5 linked regions of the Cricetulus griseus genome follow. The protein of the gene in region 1 purifies or fractionates together with the protein of each later gene. This does not show direct contact. Links are inferred from orthologs where the notes say so. Each region holds a gene or a part of one and is shown in the gene's direction. Other genes may lie near its edges.

Region 1 (4,386 bases):
GAGTGAGGAGTCTGGTGCGGGTGACCATTAGATTATCCAGGCCATTACTGATGAGCATTGGCTCAGCTCTCCCATGAAAGCTTACCCAAGTTGCTGTTTGCCCAATACTAGCTTCAAGATTTCTGTAGCAAACTTTGGAAGGCAGGCACTTTCTATCATGTCTCGGCACTTGGGACCCTAGGGCAATTATAAATTTGAGAATACTGTGACCAAATGGCAAAATTCTTTCTCAAAAGAAAAGAACAACAACAACAAAAAAAAGGCACGCATACACGGTAAGTAAGCAAATAAATAAAGTGCTTGGCAGAGTTTATGAGGAAAAATGAGATTACCATCTTTGTCTGAAAAGTTCAGTGTATACCTTAAGCTAAGATCTCAGTGGTTACTGAGATCTATAGACTCTTGTACCTAATAATTGTCCAGTATTCTGAGCAGGTACAGAAACTGTTGATCACAGGAGATAACATGATTCCGTAGCCACAGAAGTACTTAGGATTTGAGTTCTGTGTCAAGATTGAATTTAATGATGAAACAATGACCTTTTCTTACTGTTGCAGGGATATAATTGGTGCCATGATCGGAATGTGGTTACCATTTTTAGTGCACCCAATTACTGCTACCGCTGTGGGAACCAGGCTGCTATCATGGAATTAGATGACACTTTAAAATATTCTTTGTAAGTAACTGTACATTTTAATTTATGTAATCACTTTAGAGGGAAAAGGTAACTGGTAAAAAACAGTTAGGGGCTGGAAAGATGGCTCAGCAGCTCTGAGCCCTTACTACAGTCATGAGAACTGAAGTTCAGATCCCACAAAGACCTGTAACTCCAGCTCCAAGGGATCCAACACCCTCTTCTGGCCTCTAAAGATACATGTACATGTGTGCACAGAGTCATATACACACGTGCACGCATGAATAAAATTAATCTTCTTGGAATGAAAACCGTGAAAGAGTTCTGTTCATCGTAAAAATTGTTTTCTTTTGATATGCTGGGCATGCAACCATGGCCTCATTCATACATGCCAGTTCATTGCTATGCCACTGAGCTATACAGCCCAGAAAAGGGTTTTAATTATTTACAGTTCATTGAAATTTTCCCAAGAGCTTATAGGTAATGGAAAAACATTTAACCTTAAGAGAACCATAAGCCAGGTGCAGTAGTACACATACTTAATCCCAGCACTCAGGAGGCAGAGGTTGAGACCAGTCTGGTCTAAGCAGTGAGTTCCAGGACAGCCAGGGAGTACATACAGATACCTTGTCTCAGAAAAACAAACTAACAAGACAGAGAAACCTGTCCATTATAACTACTAGAGGCTTGCATCCCTTACTCACACATTATTCTAACAAAAACAACTATAGTGGAGCTGGAGAGATTGTTCAGTGGTTAAGAACACTAGCTGAGTTCAATTCCCAGCAACCACATGGTGGCTCACAGCCATCTGTAATGAGATCTGGTGCCCTCTTCTGGTATGCAGACAGAACACAGTATACATAATAAATAAATCTTTTTGGGGGGAAGAAAAAAAGAGACTACTTAGGGTACAGGAGTGATGCAAGTTAAATTCCCAGCACCTACATGGCTGTTCACAACCATCTGTAATTCCAAGGGTTCCATCTTCTGACATCTATTTAGTTAGTTAGTTAGTTATTTAGTTAGTTATTGGTTTTTCGAGACAGGGTTTCTCTGTGGCTTTGGAGGCTGCCCTGGAATTAGCTCTTGTAGACCAGGCTGGTCTCGAACTCACAGAGATCCGCCTGCCTCTGCCTCCCAAGTGCTGGGATTAAAGGGGTGCGCCACCACCGCCTGGCTCTTCTGACATCTTTGATCACTGGCAATCATAGCACAAAATTTTAGAAGAAGCTTAAAGTAATAAAACATGTACTACTGGGGGATGTGGCTCCACTGGCCCCTGCTTACCTAGCATACCCCACAAAATGAACCCCCCCCCAAAAAAAAAAAAGAAACAGATAACAGACAAAAAAGGCACTTGATAAAATTCAGTGTGCTTTAAATAAAATCAGTAAGCTACACAGAAGGAAACTTGCTGTGCCTGTAGACAAATACTCACCCTGATTTAGCCAGGTGGTGGTGAGAGACAGCACTGACCCAAAGGCCCTTAAATTGATAATAGTGTCACAAGTATTTTCTGCCAGGCACTAACAACCATGTTACCTAACTTTTCACCATAACTCTGTGAAGTAATATAATTTATCACAGGTAGTGACATGCTCAGAGTTATTCCAGCCACATGGAATGTAGTAGCAGAAGAATACAGAAAGGATGGCTTTGTCTAGTGAGTGTCTTAGTGGCTTAGCTGCTGATTCAATTTCTTTGTCATTTATAGTCTTCAGTTTGACCCAGCACCTCGTCGTGGAGAGCCTCATGTGACCCGGCGTACCCCAGACTACTTCCTGTAAATTCTTCCCCAGGACCTTTCTTTGTATGTGGAAGTATACCTGGCTTTTTAATATATATATATATATATATGTGTGTGTTATATATATATATATATTTAAAAACAAGTCATCTGTGTGTTTCTGTAACAAATTGTGATATGTCTTGACATTAAACTACATCATGGACCAAACGTGCCATACTAATGATGAGCGTTTAGCACAATTTGAGACTGAACTTACTACACTGTGTTCTAGATCAGTCTGCCTGCTGTGTTGTAGGAACCATTCTTCTTGGCTGGTTAAGCAAAAAGGGGTCACTGACTGCTTCATCTCCTTTGCACTTGGAAATTTAGTTACAGTGTTTAACTGGCATGGATTAATAGAGTCGGAGTTTTATTTTTAAGATTTCACAACCTGACTTCCACTTAATTCATTACCCTGTATTTTATTGAAATGTGTAACTAACTGAAGAAGAGATTCTTGGGAGTATGTTGTCATAACATTAAAGAGATTTCCTTTCATTTAAACTAAATTACTGTTTGATGTTGATCTGCATTATTTCTGTATATTTGTCATGACAGTGCTTGCATCCTATTTGGTGTACTGAACAAATAAACTTTCCAATTTAAACAAAAATATTTTAGCTGTGATATGCATTAAGTGGAAGCATCACCATTTTAAAACTTGATACAAATACTTAAGACTGTGGTTATTTGTTTTCCATTTACTTTGGATTTTAAGATGGTCATGTATAGTCCCAAATGACCTTAAACTCCTGGGTTCCCCTGGCTCTACCTCCCAAGTGCTAGGATTACAGGTGTAGGACACCTTGCTGAACCACAATTATCTGATGTGTAATAAAAATAAGCAGCTGTACTGACAGGATTTACATGGTAAGCTTAGGGGCTGGGGATTAACTCTGGTAAGGTGCTCATTTATATTCATTTCCAAGTTACATGCACACATGCAAGTGCACACACACACAAGTAATGCTTGTTTATAGTTTACATTTAGAAGCAGAACAAAGTCAAGTATTTGCTGATAACTTTAGGCCATTAAAAAATCCATTTTCACATTCCTAAACATTTCATTGGGTGGTCTGTATTAACTTATTCTTTTGGGTAGGAGTGGGGAGGGTTGAGACAGCGTTTGTCTATAGCCTTGGCTGTCCTGGAACTTGCTCTGTAGATCAGGCTGGCCTCAAATTCACAGAGACCCACCTGCCTCTGCCTCCCAAGTACTGGGAGAGAGAGTTCCAGGACAGCCAGGGCTGTTACACAGAGAAATCCTATCTCCAAAAACAAAAAAAGATAAAGATATCTTAAGACAGACTCTAAGGGTATCAGTACATACAAAAAAACAACAGCTCACACCCCAAATGTACTTGCTTACTGTAGTTTCAATATGCTCCCCAAAGATCATGTTTCAAAAACTTTGTTCCCAGATTTAAGTCAAAAGTACATAGGATTAGTCCACTCTGAAATTTCTTTAAAGTCTTTTAACTTTTTAGAAATACAGTGGTATCAACATTCCTACTTAAAGATTTTGAGTTGTAAAATACTGTGGTAAGGTGGATTCAAGAAGCAGAAATCACAGTTCTTATATAAGGTGAGAATTGGTTTGTTTTAAGATGGTCTGACTCAAAAATTCCAGGAAGCATGTTTCACCAAGCCTGGCTGAGACCTGATATCAGGTGTCTGTCTTACTACATCTTTTTTACCTTGTTCTCACTTTGGTACAATGTAAGATGACATAGTCCTCTTCCATTGTATGTAGGTGTGCTCCTATGAACAAGAAGAGTTCAAGGTACAGCATGGCTTTAATGTGAACACTGCCCTGTGAGGTCACATGTACTGACTTTAAGGACAACAGGTAGTTCTGACTTTACTGGCCACTCTGTTCTTTCTCTTCCACGTTAAGTACCGTATCCACAGTTATTCCTATGTCCTCCAGTGACAAGCCTCCCTCTGTCTCCAGAGGCCT
Region 2 (4,850 bases), on another chromosome or scaffold:
ATAATCCCACAAAAAGTATTTGTAAAGAAGTGAGTTGGTTGGTGATAATAAAGCTATTTTTTTGAACTTTTAAGTTTGTATAGTTGCTAGTAAAAGGAACTGTAGCATTTTGTCTTAAATTGTCTTAGAAACAAATTATAAACTTAAATTTTTTAGAATGGTAGAAAATTATAAAGTAAAATTTACTTACTTCCATGTAATTCTTATAGTTCTTAGCTGCTTCTTGTATTATCATTACTTATGTACTGGATTGATAGGAGAGATCAGTACTGTTCAGATTCAAGTCTAACCATTGAATGATGGCTTAATAATCATAGTCAATAATAATGGTTTGATGTGTGAGACACTTAGCATCTCACACATATTGTATATATATTTTATGAAGTGTTTTCAAATTAGATTGGTTGCTGAATTACACCTTATTTAAGGGACCACTTGAGTCAAATTACACAATAAAATGAAGAAAAATTCTAAATTAAAAATGAATTTACTTTGGTAATAGTATATATGAATTGTATGAATTAATTTTAGTATTAGTAAATTAGTATTAGTATATTTCATTATACCTGTTTCCTGTAGTGTATTAAATATATACCATTTTGTAAGTGTTTTTATAATAGTCTTGAGTTTTTTTAATAATTTTTATTAATTGGTTCATGATTTTAAATATTTAGTTATTTTGTAAGTAGTGTTTCCTTCTTGCCATCTTAATGTTACTATTTTGATTGCAAAGCACATGCTTAAAATTATATTGAATTGCTGCTTACACTTTTAACTCTCTTGTTATAGTCATTCAAATGATTGCACTTTAATTTGCATTGCAGTATCACTGTAGAAAGTTGTAATAATACACAAGGCACAGATGAGACGACTAAGGAAAGTGAAACTTCCCTTTCAGTTTTTATTGATATTGAAGTACCCATTCTGATCTGAAATCTAAAGTTCTGCCGTTAATGTATATTACTTGTTTCTTACTTTAGCAACATTATAATATACAAAAAGAGGGCATTAAAATGAAGCCATAGGGAATGTTTTAAGGTTGGAAGGCAATCCCTTTAGGACACTGACATTATTAGGAGAGCCATCTTTTCCTGGACCATCTCTGGCACTAACTGATAGGCTTGTATATCAGAGTGTTTGTAGTAACTTACTGACTTAAAAAAACAAAACAAAACAAAACTGCTGTATGAGCTATTCTGAGGTTGATAGACATCTGTTTCCCATAAGTGGCTGATAACCTGATTATTTAATCAAAAACTGTCCTGTTAAAATTGACCGAGATGGTAAGGGATCTAAATAGACAAGATCTTTGTGTTCTGCTTCCATCCTGGGATAATTATATGGTGTTTATTCAGTCTGTGGAAGATTTCTACGTTGTAGTTTCAGGACATTGGTTTATTTCTATTCAGTAGTAGGACTTTTTTTGTGTGTGGAAGTGGGAAGTAGAATTCATAATATTGCTGAATTTTGTAACTGTTTCGTGCTTAAATTCCCCACAATATTGTATTGTACTGTATGATTTTTCAGCATTTAAGAAGCGGTTTTGTTCTTTATAGCTGAACCAATAACGTTTCCATCTGGAGGAGGCAAGTCATTTATTATGGGTTCTGATGATGTTTTGTTAAGTGTACTGGGCCTTGGAGACCTTGCAGACTTGACGGTAACAAATGATGCAGACTATAGTTATGATGTAAGTGCAGTTTTATTTTTAATTTTTTAATGATTTAATAGAAGGCTCCTTATTCTTTGGAATCATTTATAACAGTGAATTAATGTCAAGGTGCATGGAAAACATGTTTAAGTGTGTTGATGTGTTGATTTGAAATAACATGTAATTTTGCTTTAAGTTTTTTTCCTTTGTGGTGTATAAATCTTTCTTAGGAATTTTGGTGGATTAGGTAAGAGTTTGGGGTTATTACCTTAAAATATTGGTTGTTAACTACATCTTGAGTAATTAACTCTTACTAAGTTAAAGCCATATTTTAGTGTTAACAAAATAAATACTATCGAAATCAGGTTTTTGCCATCATGAAAAGTCTTAAAAGCCATGTTTTGTTTTTGAGCTCTTATTTTGTCAATCACAACAAAGTTAGCTTGTATCATTTCCTAAATGTTTAGCTTCACTTGAGGGCTAGAAGAAGGAGATAGGAAGAACTGTGTTAGTATTAGACAGGTGTTGATATTTTCCAAGCATAAACACTCGATTAGAGTTAACTATATTTTAGATTTTTTTGCATTCACTTTAGTTTTTCAGCAAATTTCTTCCTTTTTTTAAAAAATTTCTTTTTTAACATTAAAAGAAATTTAGACTTAATTTAGGATGTTTTTTGTAACGATATTTGCCTTGGTGGGCTGGGCTATTGTTACTAATAATTTTTAAAGCATATTTACAACTAAATTGAGTAAACTTTTAACTGCTTTAGAATTGGATTAACAGCTTGTCTTTACTGATACAGAAGTAAAGGTGAAAAGATTGAGCTTTATTATTATGAAGGATTAGGAAAAAGTGCTTGCTCAAAGCCCTGGGCTTGATCCCTAGCACCACATAATCTTGGGCAGCGTAGCTCATTCCTGTAGTCCTAGTATCTGGGAGACAGGGCCAGAAGGATTGGAAGTTAAGGTTAATTACATATGAGCTCAAGGGCAACATGAAACTCTGTCTTTCAAGGAAATTAAAAAAAAAAAAAAAGAAAGATGTAGGAAAATATTCTTAAGGAGTTTTTAGTTCATTGTTTTAAAAGTCCCTTAACTGTCTGCCTTGGAATTGTTCATATACTGGTCAGTTTCCTAAATGGAAACTATTGTGTTTACTGTAACCTTGAGTATTTGGTAATGTTTATATTCTGTTTTGGTTTTGTGTAAACTATTACAGCAGTGACAGTTTTCTGTTCTCATCTATCTCATCTGACATTTGATAGGAGTTTTGGATTTATTTTTTATTTTATTTATTTATTTATTTATTTTGATGATTAGGTGAAAACAGATGATAAAGGAACTCTTCTACCTGGATATTTGAAAGTCTTACAAAATTATTTTTCTGAATTCTTATATTCTGAATTCTTACATAAAGATAGACTTGCTATGGAGTTTTTAAGGTCATTAAAACAGCTTCTGGATATTTTAGTGGAACAGTTTTATATGTTTTAAACACACCAAAAAGAAAACAGAAAGTCCACATGCCTGCCAGTTCGTTACTTTTACCTGTAAATAGTGCACTTTTTCATTTTAGTTGCCGGCCAATAAAGATGCCTTTCGAAAGACTTGGAACCCCAAGTATACACTACGTAGTCATTTTGATGGAGTGAGAGCATTAGCTTTTCATCCTGTAGAACCTGTGCTGGTTACTGCCTCTGAGGACCACACCCTGAAACTTTGGAATTTGCAAAAGACAGTTCCTGCCAAAAAGCAAGTATTTCAATATTGATTGTTTTTTCTTCTTTTAATTTTGTTCATATGGATAATTATTATTCTTTACTATTCCTGTGTTTTAGTATGTCTGTATTGTCAGCCAGTGATTCACAATGATTTACTGTGTTCTCTTCCCCCATCCCTTTTTTCCCTTTTAGGAGTGCCTCTTTAGATGTAGAACCTATCTATACATTTAGGGCCCACATGTAAGTTGGTTTTTTTTTTTTTTTTTTTTGGTTTATTTTTTGAAATAGTACTTAATGAGCAACTATAATCTCCAAACCTAATTTCCCCAATATTTGGTGTTAAAGGAGATATATTAGTTTAATAATGCCTTGTTTGATTAATTATATTTGAATATGATCAAATAGTACTTTTCAGTTGTACATTTTTACCTAAAACCTCATAAATGATTAGATTGAGGGATGTGGGGTTTGAGTTTCTTCTTAGAATTTATAAGTAATTTTTCCTCTCTTTCTATAATAGTGGCCCTGTTCTTTCATTAGCTATTAGTTCTAATGGAGAACAGTGTTTTAGTGGTGGTATTGATGCAACCATTCAGTGGTGGAATATGCCTAGTCCTAACGTGGATCCCTATGATACATATGGTAAGTAAAGGGGCACAATGGATCTTTTCAGTGAATAGACCTGACAGAATTCTGTAGTTCAGATGTTATTACAAAGTTGTTCAAACATATAATTTGTTCATTTAATTCTACTTGCTAGAAAGTTTCTTTATTTAAAAAGACAAATATTATGGCTTGAGAGATGGCTCAGGGGTCAAGAGCATTGGCTGCTCTTCCAGAAGACCCAGTTCAGTTCCCAGTATCCACAATGGCACAACTGTCTGTAACTCCAGTTCCCAGGGTATCTAACACCTTCACACAGACATACATGCAGACAAAGCACCAATGCAAATAAATAAATAAATAAATAAATAGGGTTTTTTTGGGGGGGGGGGAAGACAGGGTTTCTCTGTGTAGCTTTGGAGCCTGTCCTAGTACTCACTCTGTAGACCAGGTTGGCCTCGAACTCACAGAGATCCGCCTGCCTCTGCCTCTCAAGTGCTGGAATTAAAGGTGTGCGCCACCAATGCCTGGCTAAATAAATAGTTTTTTAAAAGAGAGAAATATGCCACGAGTATTTTAGTGCTTGAATTAGTACTTTATTATGTTTAAAGCATATTTCTTAAATGCTAATTTCAGTTAACAGAAGGAAGAGGGGAAAATTATTGAAGTAACACATTTTTAAACTCAAGAGACAGTATTATAATTCTTATGTTAAGTGAAAGATATCAAACAATATAGATAGGATGGTCAGTGTATAATTCATTACAATTTCATGCAGGGCCAAAAATTCCTTAATTCAAAATGAAAAGTAAAACAAAAGTTTGATTTTTACAAATGGCACTTTGAGAAACTTATTCTTGATTAAAAATTTGA
Region 3 (5,127 bases), on another chromosome or scaffold:
TGTATGTTCTACTAAACCATGAGTTTTGTAGTGTTGAGGGCATTAGTTCAGTTTTATCCATATCTTCCACATAGCAAGTAGTCACTAATTTCATTAAATTATTCACATTATGTTACCGGGGAGTCTTGTTCATTTTGTGGCAGTTCCTCTATTTTAGTTTTAGTTGCTTACTATTTAATTTGGAAAAAACTAACTAGTTTTTAGTTTCTACAGTGCTTACTTATTATATATTTGCATGTATTGTGTATTTTAATTTTTAGTTCTTAAATTGGAAGCTACTATTTACTACAGTGAAAGATACAATTTACATTTCATCTCCCATTCCATTAGGTGGATTTTACTGACTTACAAGTTTTAGGGAACTGGGATGTCTTTAAATATCTAAATATTTGAGTTATTGTCTGTTTTGTTACTTGGGGATGGGGACGCTAGGTCCCATTTAGTCCAGGCTGGCTTGGACTAATCCTTAACTCCTAATCCTTTCTCCTCAGCCTCCCAAGGACGAGGATTATGGGTATGTGCCACCACACCTGGCACCTGGGTGTCAAATGGTCTTTAGAAAAATGGAAATTATTTGACGTACCACAGATTTAAATTATTGTGGCTCAAAAGATAGTGTAATTGAAGTGTAACTTCTATAGTATGTACTAAATGAACCCCTCCCAGTTTATTTCTGCAAGGCTTTTAATAGACTTAAAATTCATAATGCATATGCTTTTCATGGTCTTAATAACTAAAAACTATTTTTTTTATCTTACTTTCACAGGAGATTGAAAGTCAGATTGACAGAATCTGTGAAATGGGAGAAGTGATGAGAAAAGCAGTTCAGGTGGATGATAATCAGTTTTGCAAGATTCAGGAAAAACTAGCTCAACTAGAGGTAAGGTGGTTGCTGTTTAAGTTCACCCTTATTTTTAGCAGTTTTTATAGGATCTCAGAATATGTCATCACTATACTATCAGTGCAGTGTATGAGGGAGGGTGTTGTCTCAGAATGTGGCCTGGACTGGCCTAAAACTCAAAATTGTTTTGCATCATCCTCCCATGTTGTCTTAGTAGTGTTATGTTAGCAATTAGTACTAGCAGTATTGATGTTCTCTCTGTCCTAATCGTTTAAAATTAAAATTTCTCCATTATACCCTTTTCATAGAAACAATGCAATCAACATCAATCAGTGGAATTGTGGGGCTGAAAGGACAGAGCTCAGTTGGTAAAATGCTTGTGTAGCATAAGCCCTGGGTTCGGTAACCAGTACCTCAGATATACTGAGTATGATGGTGTATAGCTGTAACCCCAGCTTTTGGGAGATAGAAGGGGTGTGTGTGAGTGTGTGTATAATACCATATCATATATTTAATATATATTGTTAATAATATATATTTAAAAAGCAGAGAGAGAAGAACAGGTCATATGTAACCTGAAATCCTTCATGTGCCAAAATAGGAAGTCAGATACATAATATCTAAACTTAATGGTCAAGAAGCGGCAGTATGGAAGCTGGGTAGTGGTATTATACACCTTTTATCCCAGCACTCAGAAGGCAGAGGCAGGCAGATCTCTGAGTTCAAGGCCACCCTGGTCTACAGAGTGAGATCCAGGATAGTCAGGGCTAGACCAAGAAACCCTGTCTCAAAAAAAAAAAAAAAAAAAAAAAAGTGGAGGTTGGAAAGATGGCTCAGTGATTAAGATCACTGGCTAGAGGACTTAGGTTCAATTCCCAGCATCCCAGCTCATAACTGTCTGTAACTGCTGGCACAGCAAGTAGTACACAGGTGTACATGTAGACAAAACACTCACACACAAAATGAAGAGGTCTTTTAAGAAAATAACTAGTATATCATAAAAAAAAGATGTAGAAATGAAGCTGGGGTGTAGCTCAGTTAATAATAAAGTACTTACTTTGCAGTCATGAGGCCCTGGCTTGGATCCCTAGCACTTTATAAACTAGGTATTGTAGCATACACTTATGTCACAGAGCTAAAGAGTTAGTGACAGGAGGATCGAGAGTTTTGAGGCCAGTCTGGGATACTTAGTGAGTTTGAAGACAGCCTCTGCTGTATAAGACCCTGTCTCAAAAAAACATACTAGGGTCTGGAGAGATGGCTCTGCAATTAAGAGCACTTTCTGCCCTTGGGAGGACCTGGGTTTGGTTTCCAACACCTACATGGCCACTCACAATAATCCCTCACTAATTCCAGGGGATCTGACTCCCTTTCCTGACCCACAAGGATACCAAGCATGTATGTAATGCATGCACAAACAGAGACACATATATGCATTCAAACACACATAAATAATATGAATAAACCATGTTGTTTTTAAATGTTATTTTATGTGTCTGAATGTAAAAAAATATGAAGAGAATACATTTCAGTAGAAGATTTGAAGGTTTGACTGCTTATTTCAAGTGCTGCCGTGGGAACTTGAAGAAGTTCCTTAGCTGGGCAGTGGTGGCGCACGCCTTTAATCCCAGCACTCGGGAGGCAGAGGCAGGTGGATCTCTGTGAGTTGGAGACCAGCCTGGTCTACAAGAGCTAGTTCCAGGACAGCCTCCAAAGCCACAGAGAAACCCTGTCTCGAAAACCAAAAAAAAAAAAAAAAAAAAAGAATCTATAACTCTAGTTCCAGAGATCTGATGTCCACTCAGATGGCGCACATAAATAGGTACAGGCAAAACACACATAACACATAAGTCAAAATGAGTTGAGTACTAAAAGAAGCAGTTTATATGGTGGAGGATTTGTTGATCATACTGTTCAACCTTTTGGTGAAGCTAGAAACTCTGCAGTTATCAATATGTCCTGTAAAGAGCACACACTTGTAATCCCAGCACTTAGGAGGTAGGAACAGAAGGATCAGGAGTTCCAAGTCAACCTCCACTACATCAGATCATATCCCAAAATAGAGAGAAGAGAATTTTCTACAGAGATGATAAAGATGGAGTGTAAGGTGCCCTATCTAGATAGAAATCAAAGGAAGTGACAGGTGTCAAGTGCCAAAAGTAGTAGTGGAATTGTGAACTAGAGAGATGGCTCAGTTGTTAGAGCACCTATTGCTCATACAGAGGCCCTGGGTTCAATTCTGAGCCCCCAAATGGCGGTAACACAACTTATGTAACTCTAGACCCAGGGCATCCAGTGTCCTCTTCTGACCTTCTAGGGTACCAGGCATTCACATGGTGCACAGGCATACATGTAGACAAAACACTCAATACACATACAATAATCAAGTAAATCTAAGAAGAAAAACATTTAAGGTCCAGGTGTGGTGGTGCACGCCTCTAATCTCAGTACTCAGGAGGCAGAGACACGCAGATAGCTGTGAGTTTAAGGCCAGCCTGATCTACATATCGAATTCTAGGCCAGCAAAGTCTACTTAGTGAGACTGTCTCAAAAATGTTTTTTAATCATTTAAAACTTTAAAATTATTTTTCTTCTTTCTGGCCCCAAACAATATGTTCTGACACTGTTTAACAGTTAAAATACAGGAAATATCTTTTTTCCCCAGCTTGAAAATAAGGAGCTTCGAGAATTACTGTCCATCAGCAGTGAGTCTCTTCAGGTTGGAAAGGAAAATTCTGTGGATCCCGCTTCCCAGCCCATCAAATAACTGAACTTCTGAATGCTGGCTGCAGATGGCCCGACAAGGAGAGGAGTGACTGTCTCTCCCTAAGATGTGTCCATTCAAGTGTCCTGCTGCAGACTTGATTCAGTGTTGATCAGAGGGATGAGCTAGCAATTCGGAATTGCTGTTCATTATCCACAAACAATTTGGGTTTTATTAGTAAAATAGAGGCGTCTCACCATTCCTTTGTCAGAAATTCCGTTTAGTTTGACTCTGGGACCTGAATTTATATAAACTGTTTTCAGTTATTTTTGTTTTTCATATCTCTGAAACCCTAAACATTTTATTATAAACCAGTGATTTTATTTTATATAGGATTATAAAATTGACTTCTAAGAATTTTTAAGAGATCAAACTTTTAAAAAGTACATGTTTGGTGTAAACCTGAATATTTTTTTTTCCACTTTAAAAGTAACATGATCCACAGAAGCAAATTGTGAGACTCTCTGAGTTGCATCATCATTCACCTGTGGAGTTTGGATTCGCTCTGGTGCTAGGAGTTGGCCCTTCGTGGTCAGGTGTCTTTACTCTTAATTTGAGAGAATCTATTAGTAGTCCCCAGGAAATATACTTGAAAACAAGTCACCTAGGTTTGGGTTGTTTCTCCTCCTCCTCCCAAGGATCATTTAGTCATTCAGAGAATTCTGAGCACTTGATTTAAATGCCAACAGTAGCTTTTATTTATATGATCAAGTAGTCAGTTTTCCATTTTGTTTGACTAGGGAATCTTCAGCTTAGGTGGTTTGCCAACTATGAAGAACATATCAGATTTCCACGCGTCATAGTTGAAACATAGCTATGATGGTGACAAATGGCACTGCTTGGATGGCTTATCACCGGCAGTGAGCTGTCTTAGATCTGGTTGGTTTTTACACGGAAGCATTTTTTATCGCCCACAGAAAGTTACTATGTTCCTGATGCCATGCAGGCAATTGAGAACAGTACTGAGATTCGGGTGCAGGGAGGATCTACTAATTCCCTTGCCAGCCTTCCCTGTCTTGGTTTACTCAAATTTATAAATAATTCCTTTTACACTATTTGTTTACCCAAAATGGCTGAAGAAATCTTAATGCTATCAATATTTGCTGATACTAAGCACCATACCACATGAGAAAGATTGTCTTAAAAGAAAAAGAATCTAGTGTTTTATGTGTTGTAAAGATTCTTTGTTATGGTCCTAAGAACTAATTCCAGCTAAAACAACAAAATCTATCCAGAATGTTCTGAGTCCATCTGATCCCATTAATACCTATGGACTTTAATTAGAGTAGTGGACAGCTCCAGCTGTTTGCCTTGAAAGATCCCCTAAGTGCCCAAAGTGTACTCCACAAGCCCATCAGGAGCAGGTGTCCTCTGCCACTTGTCAGCTGGCAGTCAGGTTTCAGTGAATATGGTAGTGTTAGCAGATAGTCTGTTTCAGCAGTGTACACAGTACACTTTATCTGCCTTACGTTCCTCTTTACATCTTAGCCACCAGAATATCTTCCTTTTAGTCCTGGGGATA
Region 4 (4,850 bases), on another chromosome or scaffold:
TCTGGTTTCCTTGTATTGTGATGGCCTTGGCGGGGAGTTTTAAGTGGAGATTTAAAAACTTGATTACCAACTGGTTTATGGTAAATGGCAAGAGCTTTGTTTAGGATACACTACCTCCAGGACAGCCAAGACTGTTACACAGAGAAATCCTGTCCTGGAAAACCTACATAAACTAATATATACATTAAAATGCAGTTTCGTCATGGGGCTGGAGAGGTGGATAACAGCACTGGTTGCTCTTCAGGAGGACCTGGGCTCGGTTCACATCACCCACATGGCTGCTCACAACTGTCTAACTTCTTCATCAGCCAGGCAGTGGTGACTCACACCTTTTACTCCCAGTACTCAGGAGGCAGATGGATCTCTGTGAGTTCCAGCACAGCCAGGACTGTTACACACAGATAGCCTATTTCGGAAAAACAAAACAATACACTTTGATCATGTCATTCTGAAAATCTCCTTCCTAAAGATTGTTGTCTTAATTGAGTATAACCAACATGGCTTACTAAAATTTCACATAATTGCTTCACTGTTACAGGCTGACACTTGCTTGTGGCGGTATAGCTCTGAATTCCTTAGATGACCTGAATCCTGACTGTTTGGGGCATGCAGGTCTTGTCTATGAGTATACATTGGTAAGTGTTTTCTCCTAAAGACAATAGTATTTTCTTTATCAGTGGTTGAGCAGAAAATTTCAAACTCAAAATCAGATTTTATTTTATTTCATTTATTTATTTTTTGGTTTTATGAGACAGGGTTTCTCTGGCTTTGGAGGTTGTCCTGGAACTAGTTCCGGTTTTTTTTTTTTTTTTTTTTTTTTTGGAACAAGTTCTTGTAGACCAGGCTGGTCTTGAACTCACAGAGATCCGCCTGCCTCTGCCTTCTGAATGCTGGGACTAAAGGCTTGTGCCACCAATGCCCTGCTCCTAAACAAGTTTTTGTTTGATTTTTTTTTGAGGCAGGGTTTCTCTGTAGCAGTTCTAGCTATTCTGGGAATCTTTGTCAGCAAAGCTGACCTCAAACTTAGAGGTCCACCTGCCTGTTCCTCCTGAGTGTTGGGATTAAAAGGGTATGCACCACCACCTCCCAGCTTTTCTTAATTTTATGTATTTATTTATTCAATTTGGTTTTTCGAGACAGGGTTTCTCTGTGTAGCTTTGGAGCCTATCCTGGCAGTCGCTCTGGAGACCAGGCTGGCTTGAACTTACAGATCCGCCTGCCTCTACCTTCCGAGTGCTGGGATTAAAGGCGTGCTCCATAAACGCCCGACTAATTTTATGTATTTATTTGAGACAGAGTAATACTATGTTGCCTGGGCTGGCATAGAACTCACTGTATGGCTTTCTGGTTTCTCAAAACAGGGTTTCCTGGCCAGCCTGGTCTACAGAGTGAGTTCCAGGGCAGGCTCCAAAGCTACACAGAGAAACTCTGTCTTGAGAAACAAAAACGAAAAAAGACAGTTTCCCTATGTAACCTTGGCTGTCCCGGAACTTGCTCTGTAGACTAGGCTGGCCTTAACTCAGACATCCTCCTGTCTCGGTCTCTCTAGTATTGGGATTAAAGGCAAATGTCAGCACCACCTTTCTGGATAGGGCTCTTTCACTAAATTTATTCCAGGTTGCTTGTGTGAGGGTTATTTACCACACCCCGGCAATTTGCTAGTGGTTACACCATCTTTAAAAAATTACTTCTCATGCATCTTGGTGGTTTATATGTAATATGAGTTGACTTTAAATTTTTAATTTCTCTTGTGCCTGATTATCCTCCCTTTCAAAAAACCTTGCGGTTTTTTGTTGTTTTAAGATAAGGTTTTACTATACATCCTTGGGTGTGTAAGAACTCATAGAGACCTGTCTGCCTCTGTCTTTCAAGTTCTGGGGTTAAAGGCATGCATCACCGTGCCCCAAGGGTAACTTTTAACAATAATTTCTCTTCTTCCAGGGCGAAGAGAAGTTCACCTTTATTGAGAAATGTAACAATCCCCGTTCTGTCACATTACTGGTTAAAGGACCAAACAAGCACACACTGACTCAAATCAAAGATGCAATAAGAGATGGCTTGAGGGCCGTCAAAAATGCTATCGATGATGGTAAGCAGCATGCTGTGCTTGACTTGTGCTCTTTTTAGTCTTAAAGGCATGGCTGAATACTGTGTTCTTTAGTCAATAATTTACACAGCCAGACACCATGCAAAAGTAAAGTCTTCCTTTAAAATGATTGGTATGCTGTTTTTTTTAATAGTATATCATTATTAAAAGTAAGTACAAATAAATTATTAAAGCTGGTGGCTCTTGAGCTACCAATTAGAATGTTTTGCTCTTGGTTGTGGTTGCTCATATTGTGACTCAAGAGGCAGGTCTGTGCTGGGGTGTTACTGTTGGTAAGGCACCTACTTAGCATATGAGGATAGATGTACCCACATGTCTATCACCCAGTACTGCAAGAATATATAAATGCATATAACTAAATAATATTGTTCTGAAATAATTTTATTCTGTATTTGCTGGGTTGGGTTTTGTTTTGTTTTGTTTCTCTATGACTTCTCCTTCCCTTGTCCACAGGCTGTGTTGTCCCAGGCGCTGGTGCAATAGAAGTGGCAATGGCAGAAGCTCTGATTAAATACAAGCCCAGCGTGAAAGGCAGGGCTCAGCTGGGAGTCCAGGCATTTGCAGATGCCTTGCTCATTATTCCCAAGGTTTGAATATTTACCTTAGTTTTCCTTGCTGACAACCTTTGGGATGCAGTCATTTGTTTATGCTAGTTTCCTGAACTATGCCAAGCTAGGCAGGGTGCCACATGCCTTTAATCCTAGCACCTGTGAGGCAGAGGCAGGCTGGTCTTGGCCAGCTGTGTACATAACATTTCAGGCCAGCCAGCAGTGTTTGTAGCAAGAGATAGTCTGCCTCAGACCTGGGTGGGTAGAATTTAGAACACCCACCCTACCACACCTGGGGTAGGCAAGCTCTAAGTGTCCACAGCTGTACAGAGGAGAATGGAAAAAAGAAAGCCAGCATGGAGGTTGGTCACAAAGTGAAGACTAGCAGCCATATAGCAAGGCAAGAGACAAAGTGGACAGATCAGAACTGCATGGCAGCAGCCCAGTAGGCCATTGCTTGCATGGGTTGTTGAAGGATGAGCTTCTTTTTACTTGAGCAAAACTAATGGCCTTGTCATCATGAGCTACTCAGTAAAGGTGAGGGCTTATGACCAGTACTGGGGGAGTGGGGGTGTCTATTCTCTGGAGAGAACATGAATAATGAATGGTTCTATCTCAGTGCATGCAAACCACTGTCCTGTTTGTTTATTTATTTGGGGCAAGAAGGGGTGTGCTATAGCACATAAGGAGGTCAGAAGCCTGCTTTCAGGGAACTTATTTTTAATTGGAAATACTGTAAGTTTATTTAACATTCAGTTTTCAGTTTGTTTCTTCAAGAATTAAATTTGTTTGCTAGGTTCTTGCACAGAACTCTGGTTTTGACCTTCAGGAAACATTAGTTAAAGTTCAAGCTGAACATTCAGAATCGGGTCAACTTGTCGGTGTGGACTTGAACACAGGTGAGATTGTACTTCTTTGTGGGGGTAGACTAGATTAGATGCAGGAAAACTGGGGAAAGTGAAAATGCCTGGGGGATCTTGCTGTGCCTCCCTGGTTTGGAATCAGTCCTGCCCTTCTAAGTTGATGTTACCCATAACTGTACCAACTAGATATGGAGACTGGGGCATGGGATGGATATTTTAAATGGTGGAGTAAAGCTAGTGGCATGATCGTAACCCTGCTTTTTAGCCCCTATAACACAAATGTACAATATAAAGCAGAAGGCCTACTGTCCATACTCACTAACTTAATTGAAGAGATTGCTGGAATGAGGGAAGTCAACAGGAATGAGTCCATAGCAGAGGGGGGTCTAAATGCTTGCTCAGCAGCTAGTGCTTTGTCATAAAGAGATATGAACCACATGGCCAAGATTCTGGAAAGGAGTGGTGAATAGTCAGTGATAACCAGTACTGTTGCTTCATATTTTAAAGATTTGAAGTTGTCTTTGACTACATAGCAAAATCCTGTCTAAGATAGTCCAAATTGGTCCTTGTTTTCTGTTCTAGAATTGGTGGGGTTTGTTCATAAATAGGATGATTTCTTGAAAAAGGTAAAGGTATTCGATTGGGGCTAGAGAAAGATAGTTAAGAGCAATAGTTGCTTTTCCAGAGGACCTGGGTTCCAGTACTAGCACCCACATGGCAGCTCACAACTGGTGTTACTTCAGTTCCAGGGGCTCTGATACCCTCAGGCATGCGTGCAGTTAAAAGACCAATGCATGTGAAATAAAAATCACTTTTTAAATTAAAAAGAAAGGGGCATCTGATAATTTGTGGTTTCAAGGTGTGGTATTTATTTTTCAGGTGAGCCAATGGTGGCAGCAGAGATGGGTGTGTGGGATAACTACTGTGTCAAGAAGCAGCTGCTTCACTCCTGGTGAGTTTGGAAACTTGAGCCAGCTGTTATTGTTTAGTTGGGCAGGTTGAAATCATGTTAGTGTCTGAGCTGTCTTCTTTTTCCTTCCAGTACTGTGATCGCCACCAACATTCTCCTGGTTGATGAGATCATGAGAGCGGGGATGTCCTCTCTGAAAGGCTGAGGAAGTCCCTTGTCACTGCATCTGTAATAATACAGAATGGTGTGGGAAAATGGTCATTTTTGTCCAAGTGATTTGGAAAAGAATTTCCTCTTTCCGGTTGAAGAAAAGGAACAAGACATTTGGCACCTATTCAAATTACAATACTGTAAAAAAAAAAATTTTCATTCACTGAGTGTATGCATATGCTCAAAAAGTGGGCCCTTTTTAACCCACTGAA
Region 5 (4,850 bases), on another chromosome or scaffold:
AGTCTAATTCTGGAGGTGAAATAGCGCTGGGTGGCTGTCTGGCTGAAGTGGTTACAGTTATAGGAACTAGTTTGATCCAGTGCCTGGTCATTCGAAAGCTGTTTTGCCCGCTCTTTCTTTCACATTCATGGTGAGATCCAGCCAAAGATACTCCAGTGCCCTGGCATTCTCAGTAAAGCTGTTCCCTTTTCCTCTAGTTGAGACGAGAGAAGATTGACCTGGAAAACACATTGGAGCAAGAACAAGAGGCGCTGGTGAATCGTCTGTGGAAGAGGATGGATAAGCTGGAAGCTGAAAAGAGGTTTGTTAGCCTTGCTCGCGGGCCTGCGTGCCTGCGTGCGTGCGTGCGTGCATGCGCGCATGCGCGCGCCTGCCTGCCTGCCTGCGGGCATGGGTATTTCGAGTCTGTTAACTAGGGATAACAGTGGGACATGTGAATTGCTTGGGTGACACAGACCATCCTAACTTGTTAAGGGAAATATATGTTGATCTCTCTTATGGTTGTCTCTGCTCTATGCGTGGCTCTTCTCTCTCAAGTTCGGGATTCTTTTTATTTGTTGATACAAGGCCAAGTCAGAGTCATCCACGGTGCCACAGTTCACCTGTTAGTGTGCATCGCTAAGATTTACTTAGTTGGGGGATTTTCATAGAAAAATGGCTATCCGTTTGCTTTTAAACCCACTGTAAATAAATACCTGTGGATATTTAATACTTGTGTGTTCAGTGTACATACACAGATATAAAATGTCACCCAACACCAACAACAGACATTTCCTAAATTACCTTGTTGCAGATTGCCTTCGTCCTCGTTTTTGGTCACTCTGTACTTGGGGGTTGGAAGGGACAAGGCTTCTGGGAATGGCAGGAAGATCCTGTCTCGGAGCTTTGTATGGGATAAAGGCGAGTTTCCTTTTAAGTTGATTATTAGTTCCCTGCCCCAGAATCCTGTGTTTGTCTCTGAGAAGCCTGTGCCATTCTGTTCCACACTGTTCTGAGTTCATATGTAGAATTACAAACAGCCAACCACAGAGCTTAAGAAAAGTGAAGATTTGAAATATATGTTAGGAAAAATCCTCCAGCCATAACCACTCAGCACTATGGTAGCAGTTCTAATACATTGAATCTTGAAGTTATTTTGTGATTGCGACCACATTTACCTATTAATTTTCTCAACTAGGGTAGAACTGCAGGTAAGTCCGTTTACAGTTGTGTCAAATTGAGAGGTAAACAATTCAATATAAAGCAAACCCCAGGAGCCCCCAGCAGCTTATAAAAGGTGGTTAAAGAGGGTTGCAGTTAGCCTGCCTTTTTGGAATGCAGTTAGAGGCTTTATGTACATATAATTGTATTGTTATTGAACTTAGCTGTAGGAAGTGGTCATTTTGTAGGTAAAATGCTGTTGAGCCTTTTCTGAGTTTTATCTGATAATGATAATTGGTAGGGAAGTGGGCACACCAGCCATTAACCAAATAATTCTGACTTGGTTTGGGTGTTTTTTTTTAACATTTTATTGTTGGCCCCAGTTTTCCAAACCTTCCACCCAAGTTTTACTTGGGAGGAGCTCTAGTGGCTATTAAGTAACTTCATCCTCCGGGGCAATTCATAGCAGTTCCTAAATTTCACCCAGAGCATCAAGAGGGGAGAATTTCTTTATTCCCTCCATCCTCCGCAGCCAGCTTGCTAACCATACAGTCAGCTAGGTTTGCTGGACTCTGGGCATAGTAACCAGAAACGTGTTCAACAGACTTCACAGTTATGATTGACTGCCAGGGTCACTCAAAGAGCAGAAGGAACAGGGATGATGGCTCCGTGGTGTCGTATTTGCTGCACAAAGCCTGAGGACCGGCCTGAGTTGAGATTCCCAGTACCCACATAAAGCTGGATACACTAGCCCATGCGTGTAATCCCAGTGTGCTCCTAAAGTGAGATGGGAGGTGGAGACAGGAGAATTCCCAGAAGCCTGGGGCCAGTTTACCTTGCTTAGCAGCAGAGAAGAAGAGACCTCGTTGCAGAGGGGAGAGGCGAGGACCCATACCTAAGAATGTCCTCTCACTTCCATGTGCGGGTACCCCAGGTACACCTGTGCTAACACCTGAACACACAATAAACACAACAGAAATGAGATCTTGCCAGTCTTCCTGTTTGACCAGTGATAATTGGTCAGGATGGACAGAGAGGTGTCAGTCTGTCCAATGGGCGATTTTCAGGCCGGCTCTCGGCTCAAATGCTGAATAGTGTTCTACCGCAAACTGTTATTCATTGTTTCTTTTTTTTTTTTTTTTTCCTTTTTCTTTTCCGTGAAGAATCCTACAGGAGAAACTAGATCAGCCCGTGTCTGCCCCACCATCACCTAGAGACATCTCCATGGAGATCGACTCTCCTGAGAACATGATGAGGCATATCAGGTTTTTAAAGAACGAAGTGGAGCGGCTGAAGAAGCAGCTGCGGGCTGCCCAGTTACAGCGTACGTGGCTCCCAACCCCCCGAGTTCCTGTCTGCTGAATCAGTGCGGGTACCAAGCCCACAGCCGTCCCTGTGCTTACTAGTGAACTCGTGGCGGCAGCCGTATCCATGGTGTACTTTATTAGCAGTGCGCAGACATTTGTACACGTGTTAGCTGTCTTTCTGGGATATAGTTTTAAAAAGAAAGCGATCACGGGGGGGGGGGGGTTGGCGGCAATAATTTAGAATACTTTCAGAAGATAAATTCTGATAATCTCAAGAGGGGGGTCACTGAGGTAGCAGGATCCCGGATATCTTCCTTCCTTCCTTGCCGAGATAAAATTCTCTGACTTAAGGGAGAATGTGCTCATTTGGCATGTGGGTTACAGCTCACGGTGACATGGGAAGTCACAGAGGAACCGGTCACATCATACCCATGGTTGGAAATGGAGAACGGTTGATAAATGCATACACGTGCTTGGCTACCTTCCTATTTAAATATGTATATATACATATGTATATATATTATGACTTCTTTGGGAATTCCGTGTCAAGTGTTTTGATTATAGTCACCATTTGCTCCTCCCCCTAGCTCCTCCCTCGCCCCCCAGCTTTGTGTCTGCATTTTATTTAACTCCCCGAACCCACTCATGCTGTCTAGGTACCCAAGTGGGGAGCCATCCATTGCAGCAGAGTCAGCCTGCTGGGTCCTGACTCCGACCTAGACCTCAAGAACACTGCCTGGGAACAGAGTCACTCACTATGCATGGCCTCCCACATCGATGGGTATAATTAAAATAATCCCTCCGTACCATGTTCTGAGTCCCCTTTCCATGTGGTTCTGTTACTGAACTTGGCTGGGGGAGCGGGTCACAACCTGTAACCCCAAATCAGGTCTGGCTACTTGTCCTCAGTGAGGCGATAAAAAGGCCAAATTCATAGTGGAAAGCAGAAAAGGAAGATTTAGTCACTGGCCACATTGGGGAAGGGGACAAAGAGCCAGCTAGACCCCTCAAGTCTGTTTTCCAGGTCCTACGGTGAGATAGAAGTTTACATAAGGGACCAAGGATTTGCACATGTAAGCAGCTCTGGTCAAAGCATGGTCCCACCCCTGGTGGATGTACCTTTGGGTTTGAGTCTCATCTTGTACTGTACCAAATCTCTTCCAAGGAGATAGGTTCCCCTCTGGCTGTCTCCCTCTCCTTCTCCCAGTGTGAGATTCCTGGGGGAAATTTCAATGTCTTTGGTGCCCACTGTTTCAGTAGTCTGATAGAGTAAAAGACAAAAGTGTTTTAGAGTGTTTGCATTTCTGCCTGTTAAAGTTCTAGACGGTATCAAATTGACAATTAAAACTACCAGGCCAGGTGACCTTTGTAGTCTGTTTGATGTGCTAATGAATCTGCACAGGGGCTCTCTGCACTTCTGCTCTGTGAAGGGAGGACTGTGGAGGGTGTTTGCCTTCCTTACTGCTGAATCTAACCTCAGCTGACATTTGCGCATGGTATTTGCAGAATAAATGCTTTTGAAATTTAGGCTTAATATTTTGAAAAAGGCCAAGTTGTGGAGTTGGAAGTCAGGGTCCTGGGTTTCTGAACTTGTCTGGGTCTCTCTGCATTTTTAGGGCTCTGCCCTCCTCCTGCAAATGTTTGGTTGCAGACATCTCTTCCATGAGGTAAAATAGTGGGAGAAGGGCTTCCCTTTCCCTGTTACTGCCAGGTGAGCAGTCTGCACAGGCCCATAACTAGTGTTCTCCCAGATGTGTGCGCGCATACAAAATTGCTTCATACCAAGAATTAGACAGTAATCAGGACACTCTGCATCTTTCTCTTTGAAAACACTTCTGTTTTTTCAGGACAGGGTTTCTCTGTGTAGTTCTGACTGTCCTGGAACTTGCTCGGTAGGCAACTCAGAGATCCACCTGCCTCTGCCTCCCTAGTGCGTGCTGGAGTAAAGGTGTGCACCACCACTGCTAGGCAAAAACACTTTTAAAAACAGCCAGTCTTGCACTTCTTCTCCCAGATACCTACCCAGCTGCTTTGGACCCTCGTTAAAGCCTGACAAAGGATCCCCTTTCAGAATATGGTTATTACATTTATTTATTTAATGTGTGTGTGTGTGTGTGTGTGTGTGTGTGTGTGCGCGCGCGCGTGCGTGCATGCATGGCCTGGTGCTCATGTGTTGGTTTCAGAACAACTTGTGGGAGTAAGTTCTCTCCTTTCACCATGTGGGTTGAGGGATCCGGCTCAGGTCAGCCGACTTGGTGGCAAGTGTGCCTCTTATCTGAAGGACCATCTCCCCAGCCCCAAATGACCCTGGTTTATTGTTTTCCTCCAGCTGCAGTGAGCATGCTTGTGTACACATCTCCCTATGCACAGGCACCTTGGGCAGATCCCAGGCAGACCGGTCCA

The links.
Region 2: the proteins of Ppp2cb (region 1) and Strn3 purify together in Homo sapiens (affinity purification with mass spectrometry; 5 studies listed by BioGRID and IntAct, counting the BioPlex papers as one, with this or other methods). This does not show direct contact. The link is inferred for Cricetulus griseus from reciprocal best matches to the Homo sapiens genes PPP2CB and STRN3.
Region 3: the proteins of Ppp2cb (region 1) and Sike1 purify together in Homo sapiens (affinity purification with mass spectrometry; 3 studies listed by BioGRID and IntAct, counting the BioPlex papers as one, with this or other methods). This does not show direct contact. The link is inferred for Cricetulus griseus from reciprocal best matches to the Homo sapiens genes PPP2CB and SIKE1.
Region 4: the proteins of Ppp2cb (region 1) and Cct6a purify together in Homo sapiens (affinity purification with mass spectrometry; 4 studies listed by BioGRID and IntAct, with this or other methods). This does not show direct contact. The link is inferred for Cricetulus griseus from reciprocal best matches to the Homo sapiens genes PPP2CB and CCT6A.
Region 5: the proteins of Ppp2cb (region 1) and Ccdc6 purify together in Homo sapiens (affinity purification with mass spectrometry; 3 studies listed by BioGRID and IntAct, counting the BioPlex papers as one, with this or other methods). This does not show direct contact. The link is inferred for Cricetulus griseus from reciprocal best matches to the Homo sapiens genes PPP2CB and CCDC6.

The regions. Positions count from the first base shown.
Region 1 is NW_023276807.1:51,170,765-51,175,150, reverse strand, and holds the end of Ppp2cb (serine/threonine-protein phosphatase 2A catalytic subunit beta isoform), read left to right. Parts: intron 1-557; coding exon 558-676; intron 677-2,351; coding exon 2,352-2,424; 3' UTR 2,425-2,935; downstream 2,936-4,386. Other genes in the region: Ubxn8 (UBX domain-containing protein 8), read right to left, coding at 4,288-4,386.
Region 2 is NC_048598.1:150,652,064-150,656,913, forward strand, and holds part of Strn3 (striatin-3), read left to right. Parts: intron 1-1,556; coding exon 1,557-1,690; intron 1,691-3,229; coding exon 3,230-3,405; intron 3,406-3,566; coding exon 3,567-3,614; intron 3,615-3,894; coding exon 3,895-4,016; intron 4,017-4,850. UniProt on the Homo sapiens protein: Calmodulin-binding scaffolding protein which is the center of the striatin-interacting phosphatase and kinase (STRIPAK) complexes.
Region 3 is NW_023276806.1:53,971,275-53,976,401, reverse strand, and holds the end of Sike1 (suppressor of IKBKE 1), read left to right. Parts: intron 1-766; coding exon 767-880; intron 881-3,506; coding exon 3,507-3,608; 3' UTR 3,609-4,068; downstream 4,069-5,127.
Region 4 is NC_048597.1:109,116,744-109,121,593, forward strand, and holds part of Cct6a (T-complex protein 1 subunit zeta), read left to right. Parts: intron 1-538; coding exon 539-635; intron 636-1,941; coding exon 1,942-2,089; intron 2,090-2,135; exon of another isoform or gene 2,136-2,268; intron 2,269-2,560; coding exon 2,561-2,694; intron 2,695-3,451; coding exon 3,452-3,554; intron 3,555-4,397; coding exon 4,398-4,470; intron 4,471-4,560; coding exon 4,561-4,633; 3' UTR 4,634-4,850. UniProt on the Homo sapiens protein: Component of the chaperonin-containing T-complex (TRiC), a molecular chaperone complex that assists the folding of actin, tubulin and other proteins upon ATP hydrolysis.
Region 5 is NW_023276806.1:267,513,820-267,518,669, reverse strand, and holds part of Ccdc6 (coiled-coil domain-containing protein 6), read left to right. Parts: intron 1-197; coding exon 198-301; intron 302-2,303; coding exon 2,304-2,464; intron 2,465-4,850.